Macaca mulatta: one gene and its partners. The protein of the gene in region 1 purifies or fractionates together with the protein of each later gene. This does not show direct contact. Links are inferred from orthologs where the notes say so. Each region holds a gene or a part of one and is shown on either strand. Other genes may lie near its edges.

What was found.
Region 2: the proteins of GEMIN5 (region 1) and SNRNP70 purify together in Homo sapiens (affinity purification with mass spectrometry; 4 studies listed by BioGRID and IntAct, counting the BioPlex papers as one, with this or other methods). This does not show direct contact. The link is inferred for Macaca mulatta from reciprocal best matches to the Homo sapiens genes GEMIN5 and SNRNP70.
Region 3: the proteins of GEMIN5 (region 1) and DDX20 purify together in Homo sapiens (affinity purification with western blotting; 6 studies listed by BioGRID and IntAct, counting the BioPlex papers as one, with this or other methods). This does not show direct contact. The link is inferred for Macaca mulatta from reciprocal best matches to the Homo sapiens genes GEMIN5 and DDX20.

Annotation. Positions count from the first base shown.
Region 1 is NC_133411.1:163,754,941-163,759,728, forward strand, and holds the end of GEMIN5 (gem-associated protein 5), read right to left. Parts: intron 3,283-4,788; coding exon 3,186-3,282; intron 2,584-3,185; coding exon 2,416-2,583; 3' UTR 1,776-2,415; downstream 1-1,775. UniProt on the Homo sapiens protein: The SMN complex catalyzes the assembly of small nuclear ribonucleoproteins (snRNPs), the building blocks of the spliceosome, and thereby plays an important role in the splicing of cellular pre-mRNAs.
Region 2 is NC_133424.1:61,537,673-61,543,333, reverse strand, and holds part of SNRNP70 (U1 small nuclear ribonucleoprotein 70 kDa), read right to left. Parts: intron 3,677-5,661; coding exon 3,614-3,676; intron 3,502-3,613; coding exon 3,447-3,501; intron 2,875-3,446; exon of another isoform or gene 1,816-2,874; intron 275-1,815; exon of another isoform or gene 1-274. UniProt on the Homo sapiens protein: Component of the spliceosomal U1 snRNP, which is essential for recognition of the pre-mRNA 5' splice-site and the subsequent assembly of the spliceosome. SNRNP70 binds to the loop I region of U1-snRNA.
Region 3 is NC_133406.1:128,480,671-128,487,107, reverse strand, and holds the start of DDX20 (putative ATP-dependent RNA helicase DDX20), read left to right. Parts: upstream 1-2,547; 5' UTR 2,548-2,569; coding exon 2,570-2,870; intron 2,871-3,295; coding exon 3,296-3,390; intron 3,391-6,367; coding exon 6,368-6,437.

The DNA of each region.
Region 1 (4,788 bases):
CCAAACATGCCTTAATGGACAATCCCTCCCTCCCCTCCTTTCTTTACAAGTTATGTGTTTAAAGGTTTAAGTTTACCCTATTTGGAAAAGTTTTACCACTCCTACCCCTTCTCCCCTGTCTACCCTATTTGGAAAAATTTCAAGTTTTAGCCAATCGGGCTAGCTTAAATTGTGTGGTCTGACTTCAGCCAATGGGGAAAGGACACAGAAACAGAAGTTGCATTAGGGATAAAAATCCTTCTCTCCTTTGTTCAGTGTGCTCTTGTGATTGTGACTGGTGCAGGCAGCACCCTTCTGCAGAAGTAAATTTGCCTTGCTGAGAAGTCTTTTGAGTGCCCGTTTTCTTTGAGACTCCAAGCTCTTATTTCCAACACTGGGATTACAGACATGTGCCACCATGCCCAGCTAATTTTTGTATTTTTAGTAGAGATGGGGTTTCTCCATGTTGGCCAGGCTGGTTTTGAACTCCTGACCTCAGGTGATCTGCCTGCCTTGGCCTCCCAAACTGCTAGGATTACAGGTATGAGCCACTGTGCCTGGCCATAATTCATTTTAAAAATTTTATTTATTACTTATAGAGATGGGAGTTTGCTATGTTGCCCAGGCTGGCCCTGAACTCCTGGCTTCAAGCAATCCTCCCGCCTCAACCTCCATAGTATCTAGAGTATAGGTTTGCACCATAGCACCAGGCAACTGAGTGCAATTCAGTCCCTCCATATATACTACCAAATGTTCGTCTCAAATATATACTGCCTCCATATATACTGCCCAGTTGGTCTCAAACTCCGGTCCTCAAGTGATTCACTTGCCTTGGCCTCTCAAAGTGTTGGGATTACAGGCATGAGCCACCCCGCCCGGACTCAAATAGTAAATCTTGTTCTTACCAAAGCAGTAACTGAGGAGTGAGCAGGACCCTTCTAGCCACAGGTGATGCTTCCGACAGATCACAAATGAATTTAGAATTCTAGTTTAACAATATCACTCTTTACTCAAGTGGAATGGACTATATATTTTTTCCACCTCTGTAAGCAAAGTTCATTTTAGCAGTTTGTAGAACTGGTGTCCAGTTTTCCACCTAGCCATGCCTATTTATATCTTTTCAATCAAGAAAGATTCTCCATCTCTAGTAAGAAAGCATCATCTTCCTAAAGTTCACTTAACTGTATGAACTGTGAGGATCTAAATTCTACAGTATTTCCCTTTGTAGAGTTTATTAAACGCTAATGCTAGGCACATACACATCTTTGAAAACTGCCTTAAACATTTTCCTTCCTGGGACTCCCTGTAAATGAATTTCATTCTTACTGTCCCAATCCCAATCCTAGGAATTAACTGAAAAATAAACTACAAACGTGAGCAGAACAGCCTTCACAATGAATCCTAGATAAAACAGTTCAATTATGTGAAAGGCGTATTCCTTCCCACACGCATGCCAGACTGTGATTTTCCCATCCTAGCAACTGTGACATTACCGAAACATCTGTTCCTGACACTGTTCAACTGTTTAAATAACCAAGGAGGAGAAAAAAAAAAGATTTACAATTAAATAGTATTTAGGGTCCCAACTGTCAGAGTCCAAAAATCCAAAGGTCATCTATGCAAAATTAGGAACATGCATTTTTCTCCAAAGAGTATCTCTGGCTTTAATCTGATTCTCAAAAGGATCCTATAATCCAAGAAAGTTTAAAAACCATTGGAACAGTAATTTATTCCTGAGCTATTTGACTGCCATCGATCCATCTGTTATAAAACTGAAGGGAAAACACACATTTGAATCACTTCTTCTAAAGCTTTAGTAAATGATCTGTTCAAATAAGCAATTACATAAAAGAATAAAACCAAATTTCCAACCTAAAATTCTGACAGGAGAGTCAACATGATGGTTAAGGCCTATTTCAAATTCAAACTTCAATCTATGAAAGAGAAGACAGAGAAGGGTCTCCGCTTTCAAATTAAATATTATAAAAACAATTTTAAAAAAGTATCAATAGTCCTAAAATGCAGCAACTCCATCTCAAACAAGCATGACACATTTCTGATCAGATGAAGTATTTATAAAGGTAGCTTGTGTTTTAAGCATGTAACACTTTGGGTGATGACAGAAGTTTCTCCTCTTTGGATGAAACCTGCCTAAGGCTGTAGAGATGACCAACACTCTGCAGGTATTAGTTCTGAATAACTACTGCGGGCTTTACATGATCTTCCCTCCAGCAGGAGACCACAATTGAGTCTAAAGTCAGATCCACTGTGTCTGTGGGTAGGCAGGGTTGATTCAAACTTAATCCTCGTTTGTATTCATTTGGATTACTGCAAAAACAGCTAGGGACCAGAGTGAATGTCTGGTGAGGTGGAACTGCAGAGGTGAAAGGTGTCAAACATTTTCAATTTGGCAGTTTCTTCAAGGTGTGTAAAAATTCACGTGCAGAAGGTCTGGCAGTGTCTTTTGTAAGTTTTCGTGTTGCCGTATTTCTGAAGAAGCTCTAGGGCCTGCTGCTGCATTTCCTGGGCCAGACACCCAGGAAAGTGGGACCTGATGAGAAGCAGGACGAGGCAGCACTCCAGCACATCTGGGAAGGGCCAGGCCTGAAAGATGATGACATGAGGATGAATAAGGAAGCATTTGCAAAGGAGCCACAAACACCTTCACAGAAGGCACCAGTGAATCAGGTTCATCTATAGACATTTCTTGGACACAGCTGATCCAGCTCTCTCCTAAGGCAATGTCCTGTCTTTCTCTTCAACGGTTACTCCAAGGAGAAATGACACTGAAAACTGGGATGGTTGCTGGGATGTCCTTCTCAATGGCACAATCTCTTTCTACAGCACTATGCAAATCAACCCTTAAAAATGGTGCTTCTATTACTATTTGGGCCCACAGCCAAAAAGACCTGTCCATCTGTAAGCTGTCTAATACATGGCACCAATCTAAATTTTACTTCTTACCTATTACATTTATTTAGTTTCTCTGAAGACTGAGGTATAAAATTACTTGTGTGATCAATAATTCTATTCTCACAAAACATCCTAGCTAACCAAAGTAATTGGATTCTAAATTCTTAAGCTCATATGAATGGGTAGAGATTTTAGAAACTGAACAGAGAGGTAGCTGACCTATAAGAACGTGGTATAGTCAAGTGATAACACAAAAAGTGATGCTTTACCAAATGAACTGCTTTAACTCTTACCTTAATGCTCTCAGGAAATTTCGCCATTCTCTCATTTGCCTCTGTAAGCCTTTTGGTTAATTCAGGCAGAGAAAGTGGCTCATTTTTTTCTTCTTTACTAGTGAAAAAAATAAAAGGTGTAAGTTGTATGTCTTGCCCTGGGTAACATTTTTCTCCCATTGATTTTACTGTGGTAAAATGTATATAACATAAAGCTTACCATTTTAGCCATTTAAACATATATAGTTCAGTGGTTTTAAATACATTCATAATGTGAAAAACATCCCCACCACCCATTTCCAAAACTCTTGTCGTTTTGTAAAACTGAAATTTTATACCCATTAAACAGTAACTTCTCATTCTGCTTCTCTTAGCCCCTATCAATATCATTCTACTTTCTGTCTCTGTGATTTTAACTATTTTGAGTACCTCATATAAGTGGAGTCATACAGTGTGTGTCTTTTCGTGACTGGCTTATTTCACTCAGCATAACGACCTTCCTTTGTAAGGCTGAATGACATTCCATCATATAGATATGGCACATTTTGCTTATCCATTCATCTGTCAGTGGATACTTAGGTTGCTCCCATGTTTTGGGTATTACGAATAATGCTGCTATGAACACAGGTGTGTGCACATATTTCAGACTCTGCTTTCAATTTTTTTGGGTATATACCCAGATGTGGAAGTGCTGGATCCTATGGTCATTCTATTTTACATTTCTGGAGGAACTGCTGCTATACTGTTTTCCACAGTGGCTGCATCATTTTACATTTCCACCCACAGGCACAAGGATTCCAAGGTCTCTGCATCCTCCCCAACACTTGTTCTGTTTCTCTGGTAGTAGCCTAATGGCTATGAAGTGCTACTTCACTGTAGTTTTGATTTGCAATTCCCTAATGATCAGATATTGAGCATCATTTCCTGTGCTTACTGGCTTTTTAGAGAAATATCTATTCAAGCCCTTTGCCCATCCTTGAACAGGATTATCTTTTGTTATGCCTGGGTAACTTTTATCTTTTATTTTTTAAATTTTCTTAAAATTTAAACTTTTGCCCATGACACAGCCCCCAGGAGGTCCTGAGAACATGTGCCACTGCCTGGGTAACTTTTATCTCATTTTATAAATAAAATTCCTTTGTCACCTGGCTTCTTAAAATTTAATTTTTTTTTGTAGAGACAGGGTCAACCAGGCTGATGTGAGTGGCACAATCGTATCTCACTACAGCCTCGAACTCCTGGGCTTAAGTGATCCTCCCACCTCAGCCTCCTGAGTAGCCAGGACTACAAGTGCATGCCACCACAACTGGCTAATTTTAAAAAATTAATTTTTCTAGAGACAGGGTCTCAATATGTTGCCCAGGCTGAACCTGAGTTCCTGGTCTCAAGTGATCCTCCTGCCTCAGCCTCCTAAGTACCTACAGGGTATATGCTACCACACCTGGTTATTTTATTTGTACTTTTTGAGATGAAGTCTCCCTCTGATGCCCAGGTTGGAGTGCATTGGTGTGAATTTGGCTCACTGCAACCTCTGCAGCCCAGGTTCAAGTGATTCTCTGGCCTCAGCTCCCCAAGTAGCTGGGATTACAGGCATGTGCCACCATACCTGGCTAATTTTTGTATT
Region 2 (5,661 bases), on another chromosome or scaffold:
CCACCTCAGCCTCCCAGAGTGCTGTGATTACAGGCGTGAGCCACCGCGACCAGCTGAATTATTTTAAATGAAATTCAAGATAGCACACCACTTTGGTCTCTAATAAAGACTTTTAAACATCATAACCACAGTGCCACTATTACATCTTAAAGAGCTAATATTTACTAATTCCTTAACCTCATCTATGATCCAGTGTCCAAATTCCTCAATTGGAACTTGTTTGTTTGTTTGTTTTGAGATGGAGTTTTGCTCTTATTGCCCAGGCTGGAGTGCAGTGGCGCGATCTCGGCTCACTGCAACCTCCGCCTCCCGTGTTCAAGCAATTCTCGTGCCTCAGCCTCCCGAGTAGCTGGGATTACAGGAGCCCACAACAACGCCTGGCTAGTTTGGTTTTTTATATATATATATTTTTAGTAGAGACAGGGTTTCACCATGTTGGCCAGGCTGGTCTCAAACCCCTAACCTCAGGTGATCTGCCCGCCTCGGCCTCCCAAAGGTGCTGCGATTATAGGCGTGAGCCTCTGTGCCCAGCCTGGAACTTTTTTTTTTTTTTTTGAGACGCAGTCTTGCTCTGTCACCCAGGCTGGAGTGCAATGGCGTGATCTCGGCTCACTGCAACCTCCGCCTCCCAGGTTCAAGCGATTGTCCTGCCTCAGCCTCCTAGGTGGCTGGGATTACAGGTGCATGCCACCACATCCAGCTAATTTTTGTATTCTTGGTAGAGACAGGGTTTCACCATGTTGGCCAGGTTGGTCTTGAACTCCTGACCTCAGGTGACCCATCTGCCTTGCAGGATTACAGGCGTAAGCCACCATGCCCGGGCGGAACTGTTTTTAAAAAGCATTTCTGGCCGGGTGTGGTGGCTCACGCCTGTAATCCCAACACTTTGGGAGGCTGAGGCGGGCGGATCACCTGAGGTCAGGAGTTCAAAAACAGCCTGACCAACATGGAGAAACTCCATCTCTACTAAAAATACAAAATTAGCCAGGCATGGTGGCGCATGCCTATAATCCCAGCTACTCAGGAGGCAGAAGAATCGCTTCAAAGAACATTTTTGGCTGGGTATGGTGGCTCACACCTGTAATCCCAGCACTTTGGGAGGCCGAGGCAGGAGGATCACTTGAGCCCAGGAATTCAAGACCAGCCTGGGCACCATAGTGAGATCCCATCTCAATTTTAAAGTTTTTCTAGAAAAGGGAAAAAAAAAAAGACCCACAGTGGATTTTGGTTGGTTAAGACATAGATAAACTAGGCTGGGTGCAATGGCTCACGCCTGTAATCTCAGCACCTTGGGAGGTTGAGGCAGGTGGATCACAAGGTCAGAAGTTCGAGACCAGCCTGGCCAATACAGTGAAACTCCATCTCTACTAAAATTACAAAAATTAGCCGGGCATGGTGGCGCACACCTATAGTCCCAGCTGCTCAGGAGGCTGAGGCAGGAGAATTGCTTGAACCCGGGAGGTAGAGGTTGCAGTGAGCCAAGATAGTACCATTGCACTCCAGCCCGGGTGAGAGAGTGTGACTCCGTCTCAAAAAAAAAAAAAAAAAAAAAAAAATGGCAGGGAGGGCTAGGCACAGTGGCTCATGCCTGTAACCCCAGCACTGTGGGAGGCCTAGGCGGGCAGATCTCAAGGTCAAGAGATCTAGACGATCCTGGCCAACATGCTGAAACTCTGTCTCTACTAAAAATACAAAAATTAGTTGGGCGTGGTGACACACACGCCTGTAGTTCCAGCTACTTGGGGGGCTGAGGCAGGAGAATCACTTGAATCCGGGAGGCGGAGGCTGCGGTGAGCCAAGATCGCGCCACTGCAGCCTGGCGACAGAGCGAGGCTCTCTCTCAAAAAAAAAAAAAAAGACATAGGTAAACTAGTTATAGCAGACTGTGACTGTGCTGTCCAGGCAAGAGGTGACCTGGGTGGTGGTGATAGACACAAAAAGAAGAGTCAGGTTTGTGACACTTAGAAAGTAACACAAATAGGTCTTGGTGAGAGACTGAGCAAAGGATTAGAAAAGGTGTTAGAAACAAATTGCATGGCAAAAAATGAGGTCATGACCAGCACACTTGAATGTCTACGTCCCAGAGAAAACACCCAAAGGAAACCAGGTTGGCGGCAAGGGAAAACCCCTGTGGTTTGGACACTGATTCTGAGATGCCTCTGAGGCATCTGAGGAAGGACATCAAGGCAGCGTTCTGACAGCCAGTGTCCAAAGAGTGCACCACCAGATGCCTCTGTCACACTTCTGTGTAAGCACCCTGAGGAAACCCTGCACTCCAGGATTTGGAGGAAAGGGATTCATTGAAGTTCACAGGTATAGGAGGAAAACCTGTCTTCTCACTAGAGTCATGTCATGTTCTGAGAAGTGCGTCATTTGATGGTGATATCGATATGCAAACATGAGACGGCACTTCCGCGAGCCTAGATGGTATACCTCACAACACTCCCGGGCTAGAGGGTGCGTCCCACTGCTCCGAGGCCAAGCATGTTACTACGCCAAATACTACAGCAACCCTAACACAATACTAAGTATTTGTGCATCTAAACGTATCTAAGCATAGAAAAGGTACAGTAAAAATATGGTATAATTTTTTTTTTTTTAGATGGATTTTCGGTCTTGTTGCCCAGGCTGGGTTGCAGAGAGCGGACGCGATCTCGGCTCACTGCAACCTCCGCCTTCCGGAGATTCTCCTGCCTCAGTCTCCCAAGCAGCTGGGATTACAGGAGCCCGCCACCACGCCCGGCTAATTTTTGTACTTTTAGTAGAGACAGGATTTCACCATGTTGGCCAGGCTGGTCTTGAACTCCCGACCTCATGATCCACCCGCCTCGGTCTCCCAAAGTGCTGGGATTACAGAAGTGAGCCACTGCACTCGGGAAAATATGGTATAATCTTATAGGATCACCATCACACCCACAGTCCCCTGCTGACTGAAACACTGTTATGCTGCGTGTGACTGTACAGTTTTCACCCTCACAATAAAGAGCCACTGGAGGTTGACATCTGACCCTCTTATGAGTTTGCTTAATGGCAACAATATATCTGTCTTGTACTCCAATTCCTCCTCTATGTGGAGGGGATGGAACAACCTCAGCCCAAGGGTTGAGGAGCTAACGTTAGAGCCAGGACAGATCCACTCGCCCACAACTCATCGCCTCAGCCTGTGACTCCCAGCTAGGTTGTGGGAGTCCCTTAACTGTCCTCCCCTGCAGGAGGAGCCCAAGGTACTGGGGTCTCCCTTCCTGCCAACTTTTACCCTATGTTCTGCTGCTGAAAAGCCTAAACCAAAAACAGTGCTTGCCAAGTGGCAGGGGCTAAATAAATGAACTAACAACCCTGCTCCCTGCAAAACAGGCTTTGGGTGACAGCAGGGTCCTGGGTATGACCTGGGAAGAACACAGAGGGTTTGGGGGAGGAGAGAGCCGAATGGTGGATGAGAGACTTACACATTTTAAGCTCTGTCTCCACTTCTTGCTGTCGCCGCTCAATCTTTTCCCGTCTCTGTCAAGAGAAAGGGAAAGTAGAGAAGTAAATGCAGATAGAAGTGTCCTAGTGTCAAGGACCATTTGGAAACAGTGGCAAAACAGGGGGTCAGGAAGCAACAATGACATACTTTCCTCTCCATGCGCTCCTCTCGGGTTTCTGCACGAGTTGGAGGCGGGGCATCTCGAGGGTCCTGGGAACAAGAAGAGAGGTGACAGGGTGGGAAGGACTAGGGGAAATGGCAAGGGTCACTCACCAAAGAAATAAGCAGGTCAACCCTCCCACCCCCACCCCCTACAAAAATAAACATCCACTCACACTTCCCCTGTCACAGTGCAGGGAGGGGAGTGGCACAGATCAAAGCATGGTCTGCAGCCACGCACAGTGGCTTTCCACTTGTAATCCCAGCACTTTGGGAGGACGACACAGGAAGAATGCTTGAGCCTAGGGGTTTCAGACTAGCCTGGGAAACAGTGAAACACCATCTCTACAAAAAATTTAAAAATTAGCCAGGTGTAATGGCACACACCTATAGTCCCAGCTACTAGGGAGGCTGAGGGGGGAAGAATCTTTTGGGCACCAGAGGTTAAGGCTGCCGTGAGCCATGATTGTGACACTGCACTCCAGCCTGGGTGACAGAATAAGACCCTGTCTCAAAAACTAAGCATGGTCCATGGACCAGTACTATCCAAACTGTTGCTGGACTGTGATAAGTACAGGTAAGTACAGAAACCATGAGTAAGTGTTCAGAAACTTCTACAGTAATTTCACAGTTTGATGTCCACTGACTGTAATATAAATTTGGTCTTTTATTCTGCAGGTCTTTTTTTTTTTTTTTTTGAGACGAAGTCGTGCTCTGCTGCCCAGACTGGAGTGCAATGGTGCGATCTGAGCTCACTGCAACCTCTGCTTCCCGGGTTCAAGCGATTCTAAACCCCACTTTCCCCTCTGTGTTTCTGTGTCTCTAAAAGGAACCCAGGAACCGACTAGAATCCTTCAAGCGGTTCTCCTGCCTAAGCCTCCTGAGTACCTTGGCTTACACGCACACGACAGCATGTTGGCTAGTTTTTGCATTTTTAGTAGAGATGGGGGTTTCACCATGTTGGCCTGGCTGGTCTCGAACCCCTGTCTGAGGTCTTTCTTTAAAAAGTAATTCTATCATATATACCAAAAGCAAACAGATTGGAAATAGTATCTATCCTTCACCAAAAACAGTTTAAAAAGCACTGGTACGGGTGACATCTAGCTTAAGAATACAGTGTTTAGAAAACACATTGCTTCTCACAGCTCCAAGTATCACTTGCATTGAACAAACTGCCAGAGGATGTGATGGGAATGAGTGATGACAAGGCCCTGCTGATGAGTGCCAGTGAAGAGGACCAGGCCTGAAACAACATGAGCTGACAGAACAGGGCTCCAAAGCCCACAACTGCACACCCTCTGAGGGCCAAGGCAGTTCTTCAAGGTCTCACCAACTACACATTAAATAGGAACTGGCTGGTGGGGTGCGGTGGCTCACGCCTGTAATCCCAACACTTTGGGAGGCCGAGGCAGGCAGATCACAAGGTTAGGAGTTTGAGACCATCCCGACCAACATGGTGAAACCCCCTTTACAAAAAATACAAAAATTAGCCAGGCATGGTAGCGCATGCCTGTAATCCCAGCTACCCAGGAGGCTGAGGCAGGAGAATCCCTGGAACCCCAGGAGGCAGAGGTTGCAGTGAGCCAAGATCGTGCCACTGCACTACAGCCTGGGCAACAGAGCGATACTCCGTCTCAAAAGAAAAAAAAAAAGTACCTGGCTACCAGGCATGGTGGCTCACACCTGTAATCCCAGCACTCTGGGAGGCCAAGGGGGGTGGATCACCTGAGGCTAGGAGTTCGAAACCAGCCTGGCCAAAATGGTGAAACCCCATCTCTACTAAAAATACAAAACTAGCCAGGCGTGGTGGCGCATCCCTGTACCCCCAGCTACTTGAGAGGCTGAGGCAGGAGAACTGCTTGAATCAGAGGTTGCAGTGAGCTAAAATCACGCCACTGCACTCTAGCCTGGGCAACAGAGCAAAACTGTCTCATAAATAAATAACTAGTGGCCGGGCGCGGTGGCTCACGCCTGTAATCCCAGCACTTTGGGAGGCCGAGGCGGGCGGATCACAAGGTCAGGAGATGGAGACCACG
Region 3 (6,437 bases), on another chromosome or scaffold:
GAACCACTGCTATGTGCATGGAGATCCAGCAGAGATTTTTGAGCAAGGTGTCAGCCATTCAATGTTTACTGGGTCCACCAGGTGCTTGGTGCTGGGCCAGAGGGTCTAGGATGACAAAATTACTGTCCTTGAGAAGCTCATAGTTTATTTAGTGTGAGGCACATACAAGTAACCAAGCAAATAAAACATAAGAGCCAGACTGGAATTATTGATAGTGTGCTGTGGGACCCTGGGGTGGGGAATAAAAAAGGGTGTCAAAAGGAGCAGGATCTGGTGCTGGACCCAAAGAGCCTAAGATATCCACTTAAGAAAGATCACTGGCCGGGCGCGGTGGCTCAAGCCTGTAATCCCAGCACTTTGGGAGGCCGAGGCGGGCGGATCACGAGGTCAGGAGATCGAGACCATCCTGGCTAACACGGTGAAACCCTGTCTCTACTAAAAAATACAAAAAACTAGCCGGGCGAGATGGCGGGCACCTGTAGTCCCAACTAATCGGGAGGCTGAGGCAGGAGAATGGCATGAATCTGGGAGGCGGAGCTTGCAATGAGCTGAGATCTGGCCACTGCACTCTAGCCTGGGCGACAGAGCGAGACTCCGTCTCAAAAAAAAAAAAAAAAAAAAAAAAAAAAAGAAAGAAAGATCACTGCAGCACCTGTGGGGTACACGGCTGGGATAGAGAAGAAACTCTGGCCAGGCAGACCATTCAGGAGGTTTTTGCAAATTAGGATGATACAGGGACCTAAAATAGGGCAGATGCTATGGAGACTTAAGAAGAATGGATGAAATATTTGGAGGCAAAATTACTTGTGCTCGGTAAATTGTTAGAAAGTGGGGAAGGAGTCAAGAATAATTCCCAAGTTTGGGGTCTGGGGATTAGGCAGATAAAAGAGGTGAGGGCACTAAGAGGAAGGCTGGGACCTTTAGTGCCATCTCCTCCATCAGTCTCCATTCCTTCAAACGGATAGTTGACATTTTCTCAATGTTTTGTAAATTTCCAGGCAATATAAACCGTCAGGACCACCTTCCAATGGGATTACCATGTCAAAGCCCCTCCTCTATCATAGGGAATCTGGACCATCACTGTGTGTGTGTGTGTGAAGGGGTTAGGGACAATGACCAGTATTATAATCTATGGACAAAGTTGGGCTTGGTTGCAGAATATATTTAAGTTTGGTATTCTTCGTATTTTAAAAAATTTGTTTACTTTTTAAGAATTTGAGACAGGGTCTCTGCATGTTGCCCAGGCTGGCAACTCCTGGCCTCAAGCGATCCTCCCGTCTCAGCCTCCCAAGAAGCTGGGATTACAGGTGCGAGCCACCCCATACAGCTAAGTTTGGAATAATGAATATGGCTGAGGTCCAGAAATATTTAAATTTGGCATGATGACTAAGAGTTTGTTATAGGAGCTCAATCATTTGATAAATATTGAACAATTCCTATGTGTCAGATTGCTTTTCCCACTAGGGATGCAGAGGAGAACAAGACAAAATGGGTCCTTGTCCTCATAGAGTGTGGGAGACAGGCAGTAGACATATAATTTCAGGTAGTTGTAAGTATCATAAAGAAAAAATAAAGCAAAACAAAACAAGAGAGTGCTGGGAAAGACCAGGGAGCAGACAGGATGACAGAGCTGTCTTAGGGTGTTCAAGACTTCTTTTAAAAGGCAGAGCTCTTTGAAAAGGTGATATTTGGGCAGAAGTCCACAGCAAGGAAAAGTGGCAGAGACTCCTAGCCGCCTACGCATGAAATGATGGGGAAAGGAGCAATACAGAAGGCATGTAACATTTCAGAGTCTATTAGGCATCCGAGGGGAGGTGCTGCGGAGGTGGATGCATGGAGGCAGATGGATGTACACGTCTAGAGTCTAAAGGGAGATCTGAGGCGGAGATATGAACTTGGGAAATGTCAGTCCGGTTCCAGGTTCCAATTCAACGTACTTTTATCAGAGTTCACTGTGCGCCAGGGACTTGCTAGGGGCTGAAGGTCCGGAGATAAATTGGGTTGCACAGCAGACGGACACACCAGTCAACGTAGTAAACCCTTGGGCCCGGCTACGCTCTGGGCGCACTCTGCCAGCACAGAGGAGCAGCGACTCAGGGTGCAGAGCGGGTAGCGCTGGGGAAGAGGCGGCCGCGGAACGGGACAGGCTGGCGGAACGGAAAACGGAAGCACGGGGCGGGGGCGTGACGCAACGGGCACATCACAAAGAGCGCCGAGAGGGCGGTGGCGCCGGGGGCACGGCTTGGCGGCTCCGCCCAGAAGAGGGCCGAGAGGCGGGGCGGCGCCCCCACCGCGGGCCCGCGGCGCCCTCTGCAGGCCCCAGGCAGCGACTTAACAGTTGCCTCATCTTTCCTCTCCTCCCTCATGCTGCTTTCCTCAGGCCACATTTTTTGTGTGTGTGGGTAGTGTTCCCTAGTCTCTCAGCCTCCGACTCCCGTCCCTTTCCTCCACTTCCAAGCCAGGCGTGTTAGTGTCTTCGTGGGAAAACTGCCAATAAAGTTTTTCCTTTTCTCGCTCCCAGGATCCCCGCTTCTCTTCAAGCACCGCGAGATCTGACTGTGCGGCTAGCATGGCGGCGGCGTTTGAAGCCCTGGGAGCCGTAGCGGCAGTGGCTACTGCTATGCCAGCTGAGCATGTGGCCGTGCACGTCCCGGCCCCAGAGCCAACACCTGGGCCTATGAGGAGCCTGCGGACCGCTCAGGATCTCGGCAGCCCGCGGACCCGCACGGGGGACGTGCTGTTGGCGGAGCCGGCCGACTTCGAGTCACTGCTGCTTTCGCGGTCGGTGCTGGAGGGGCTGCGGGCAGCCGGCTTCGAGAGGCCCTCGCCGGTGCAGCTCAAGGCCATCCCGCTGGGGCGCTGCGGGCTCGGTGAGAGCGGGGGCCCGGGAGAGTTCGGGGGTCGGGGCGGGAGAAGGGCGACTGAGGGGCGGCAGCGGCAGCCAGGCCCGCACTGCAGCTCGGGGAGAGCCCTCGGTCGGCTCCCGGAGCAGGGCCCGGCCTGGGGCTAGGCGGTACGCTCAGTTAACTTATTTGTAAAACTAAGGTGCACTATTGAACTTGAAGATGGTTAAGACCTTTTTTAGCACTGACAGGTGGTTCTAAGTTTGAGAAGATAAACGGTAAAAGGTCAGGGACTAGGCGTTTTCTCTTACGTTTTTGAGAATCAACTAAAAATGAAGGTGCCAACTGGGAGAATCTCAGAGACCCTTCTAGTTCTCTGATTCCATGCGAGCCCCTAAGCTGCTTCCGTGAGTACTGGCTAGTGATAATTTTTTTTTTTTTTTCCTTCGCAGATTTAATTGTTCAAGCTAAATCTGGCACTGGGAAAACCTGTGTGTTTTCCACCATAGCTTTGGACTCTCTTGTTCTTGAAAACTTAAGTACCCAGGTGAGTTAGCTCAGAGGACCAGAGGAGGATGTGTTACGTGGACTTTACCACAGGTCAGATGAAATACCAGTAGCCCCTCAGAGCTGGAATTGAATTTGATGAATGATTGAGTTAAGTGGTGGTGGTGGTGAACTTTGGAATTTTCTATGCGTACCTTATTTAAATAGAATAAAGCTACCATACGTGTCAGTTTTCTCACTACTTGGTAATACAGACAGGGATTCTTTTACTTACTGACTAATGTGATACTTAACATTTGACTTGATTCATGGTAATGTAGTGCTCTGGCTATTGCTGATAACTGCAGGGTTTGTTTTTGTTTTTTGAGAGGGTATGGCTCTGTCACCTAGGCTGGAGTGCAGTGGCGGATCATTGCTCACTGCAACCTTGAACTCCTGGGCTCCAGTGATCCTCCCACCTCATCTTCCTAAGTAGTTGAGACGACAGGTGTGTGCCACCACACCTGGCTACTTTTTGTAGAGATGGGGTCTCCTCAGTGTTGCACAGACCGGCCTCGAACTCCTGGGTTCAAGCAGTCCTCCCACATTTGCCTCCCAAAGTACTGGGATTATAGGCATGAGCCACCACACCCGGTATGCAGGTGGTTCTTAAAGCTCTGTAAATGTATCATATTCATCTCCCATCTTCTAGGTTGTCTTAGAGTGTTTCTAAGATTACCCTACCCAAATTAGCAGGAAATTTGGGTTTGGGGATCATTTCTTCAACAAAGATTTGTTGAGCCCATATTACGTATGAACAGTATGTCAGGCATTGGAGATTCAAAGATGAATTAGATGTGATTCTCATAACCTTACTTTGTAGTTTAGTTGTTATGGCAGACTGTATTTCAAGTTCTCAGGCATTGGTATATCTGATGATGAGTCTTCAACAGTGGTTTTTAATCCAGATATCCATGTTCATCACCTGGGAAGCTTTTTGAGTCCATCTTATATCTGCCAAATCCTAGGTGATGTTGCATATTGGAAATCCTCCTACTTCCCAAGAACCTGAGCTAGTCTAATTGTAGACGAAGATGTATTTGAGGTTTTGGCTTCTGATAATTTGGCAACAGATAAAATGCTAAAATCCTGGAAAAGTTTCATAAATTCGTTTTTTTGAGTCTCACTCTGTTGCCCAGGCTGGATTGTGCAGTGGCACAATCTTGGCTCACTGCAACTTCTGCCTCCTGGGTTCAAGTGATTCTCCTGCCTCAGCCTCCCGAGTAGCTGGGATTACAACTGTGCATACCACATGCCCGGCTAGTTTTTTTGTAATTTTGGTAGAGACGGGGTTTCGCCATGTTAGCCAGGCTGGTCTCAAACTCCTGACCTCAGGTAATCCGCCTGCCTCAGCCTCCCAACCTGCTGGGATCACAGGGGTGAGCCACCATGCCTGGCAAATTCATATTTTTAATTTCAGATCTTTGGATTATCACAGTTACATTATTTTTTGTGTGTGTAACAAAGTAATACCTATTAATTTTTAGAAATAGGGAAAGTTCAGGAAAATTAGGAAGTACCAGAAAACAAGATCTGTAATTTCACTACCTAGAGAGAAACTGCTATTAACAGTTTTGGCATATTTTCTCCTAGTCCTTTTTTTTTTTTAATCAATTTTTTCTTCTCGTAGTTAAGAGCACAAAAGTTTTGTTTTCTCCTTCTCCAGTAGCTACATTGCAAAGTTTTTACCGTGGCTCTCAAGGCCTTTTGTGATCTAGTCCCTGGAGCTAGATCTCTGACCTCCTTTACTTTCCCCCAGATTCTGTCATGTAGGCCTTCTTTTTCTTCCTCAAACACACCAAGAACACTGCCATCTTATGGCCTTTGCATTTGTTGTTTCCTGTTGGTGAAAACGCTTCCCCAGGTGTCATATAGCCAGCTCTACTCTATGCCGTACATGTAGGTCTCTGCTCAAGTGTTACCTCCTTAGAGGAGGGTTCATGATCACCTCATTTAAAATGACTCCTTCGAAACCATCATTCTTAGCAAACTATCACAAGAACAGAAAACCAAACACCGCATGTTCTCACTCATAGGTGGGAACTGAACAATGAGATCACTTGGACCCGGGAAGGGGAACATCACACACCGGGGCCTATCATGGGGAGGGGGGAGGGGGGAGGGATTGCATTGGGAGTTATACCTGATGTAAATGACGAGTTGATGGGTGCTGACGAGTTGATGGGTGCAGCACAGCAACATGGCACAAGTATACATATGTAACAAACCTGCACGTTATGCACATGTATCCTAGAACTTAAAGTATAATAATTAAAAAAAGTAAATAAAAATAAAATAAAATAAAATGACTCCTTCTTTCCCTGTTTGATTTTTTATGATACTTTTCATTACCTGTCATTACTTATTTTTGTTTATTGTATATATTCTTATCCAAGAATGAAAGTACTGTGAGGGCAAAGACTTTACACTGTTAACTGTTGATTCCCCAGAAACTAGTATGTTGCCTAGCACAGAGTAGGTTCTTACTTAATATTTGTTGAATGAATGAATAAATGGAATACAGTCAGCCCTCCCTGTCTTCAGGTTGTGTATCAGCTGATGCAGCCAACTGTGGATCAAAAATACTTAGGGGTGGGGTGGGGGAACTATAAAAAATAATACAACAATAAAAAGATATAAACAAAAATACAGAGTAACCATTTACATAGCATTTATACTGTATTAGGTAATATAAGTAATCTAGAGATGGTTTAAAATATGTGGCAGGATGTACATAGGTAACATACAGATATATGCAGTTTTATATAACAGACTTGAGCATCTGCCAGTTTTGGTGTCTGAGGGCTTCCTGGAACCAATCCCCTGTGGATACCAAGGGATAACTGTATCTTACCTTATCAATAAAAACTCGTTTGAAATGATCATTTAAATGAAATATAGTGTGTCATGTAATGAATATACCAGTCCCCTATGTATTTATTTCTCTGACTCAAAAGTATACTTTGTTTTTTTTTTAGATTTTGATCTTGGCCCCTACAAGAGAAATTGCTGTACAGATACATTCTGTTATTACAGCCATTGGAATCA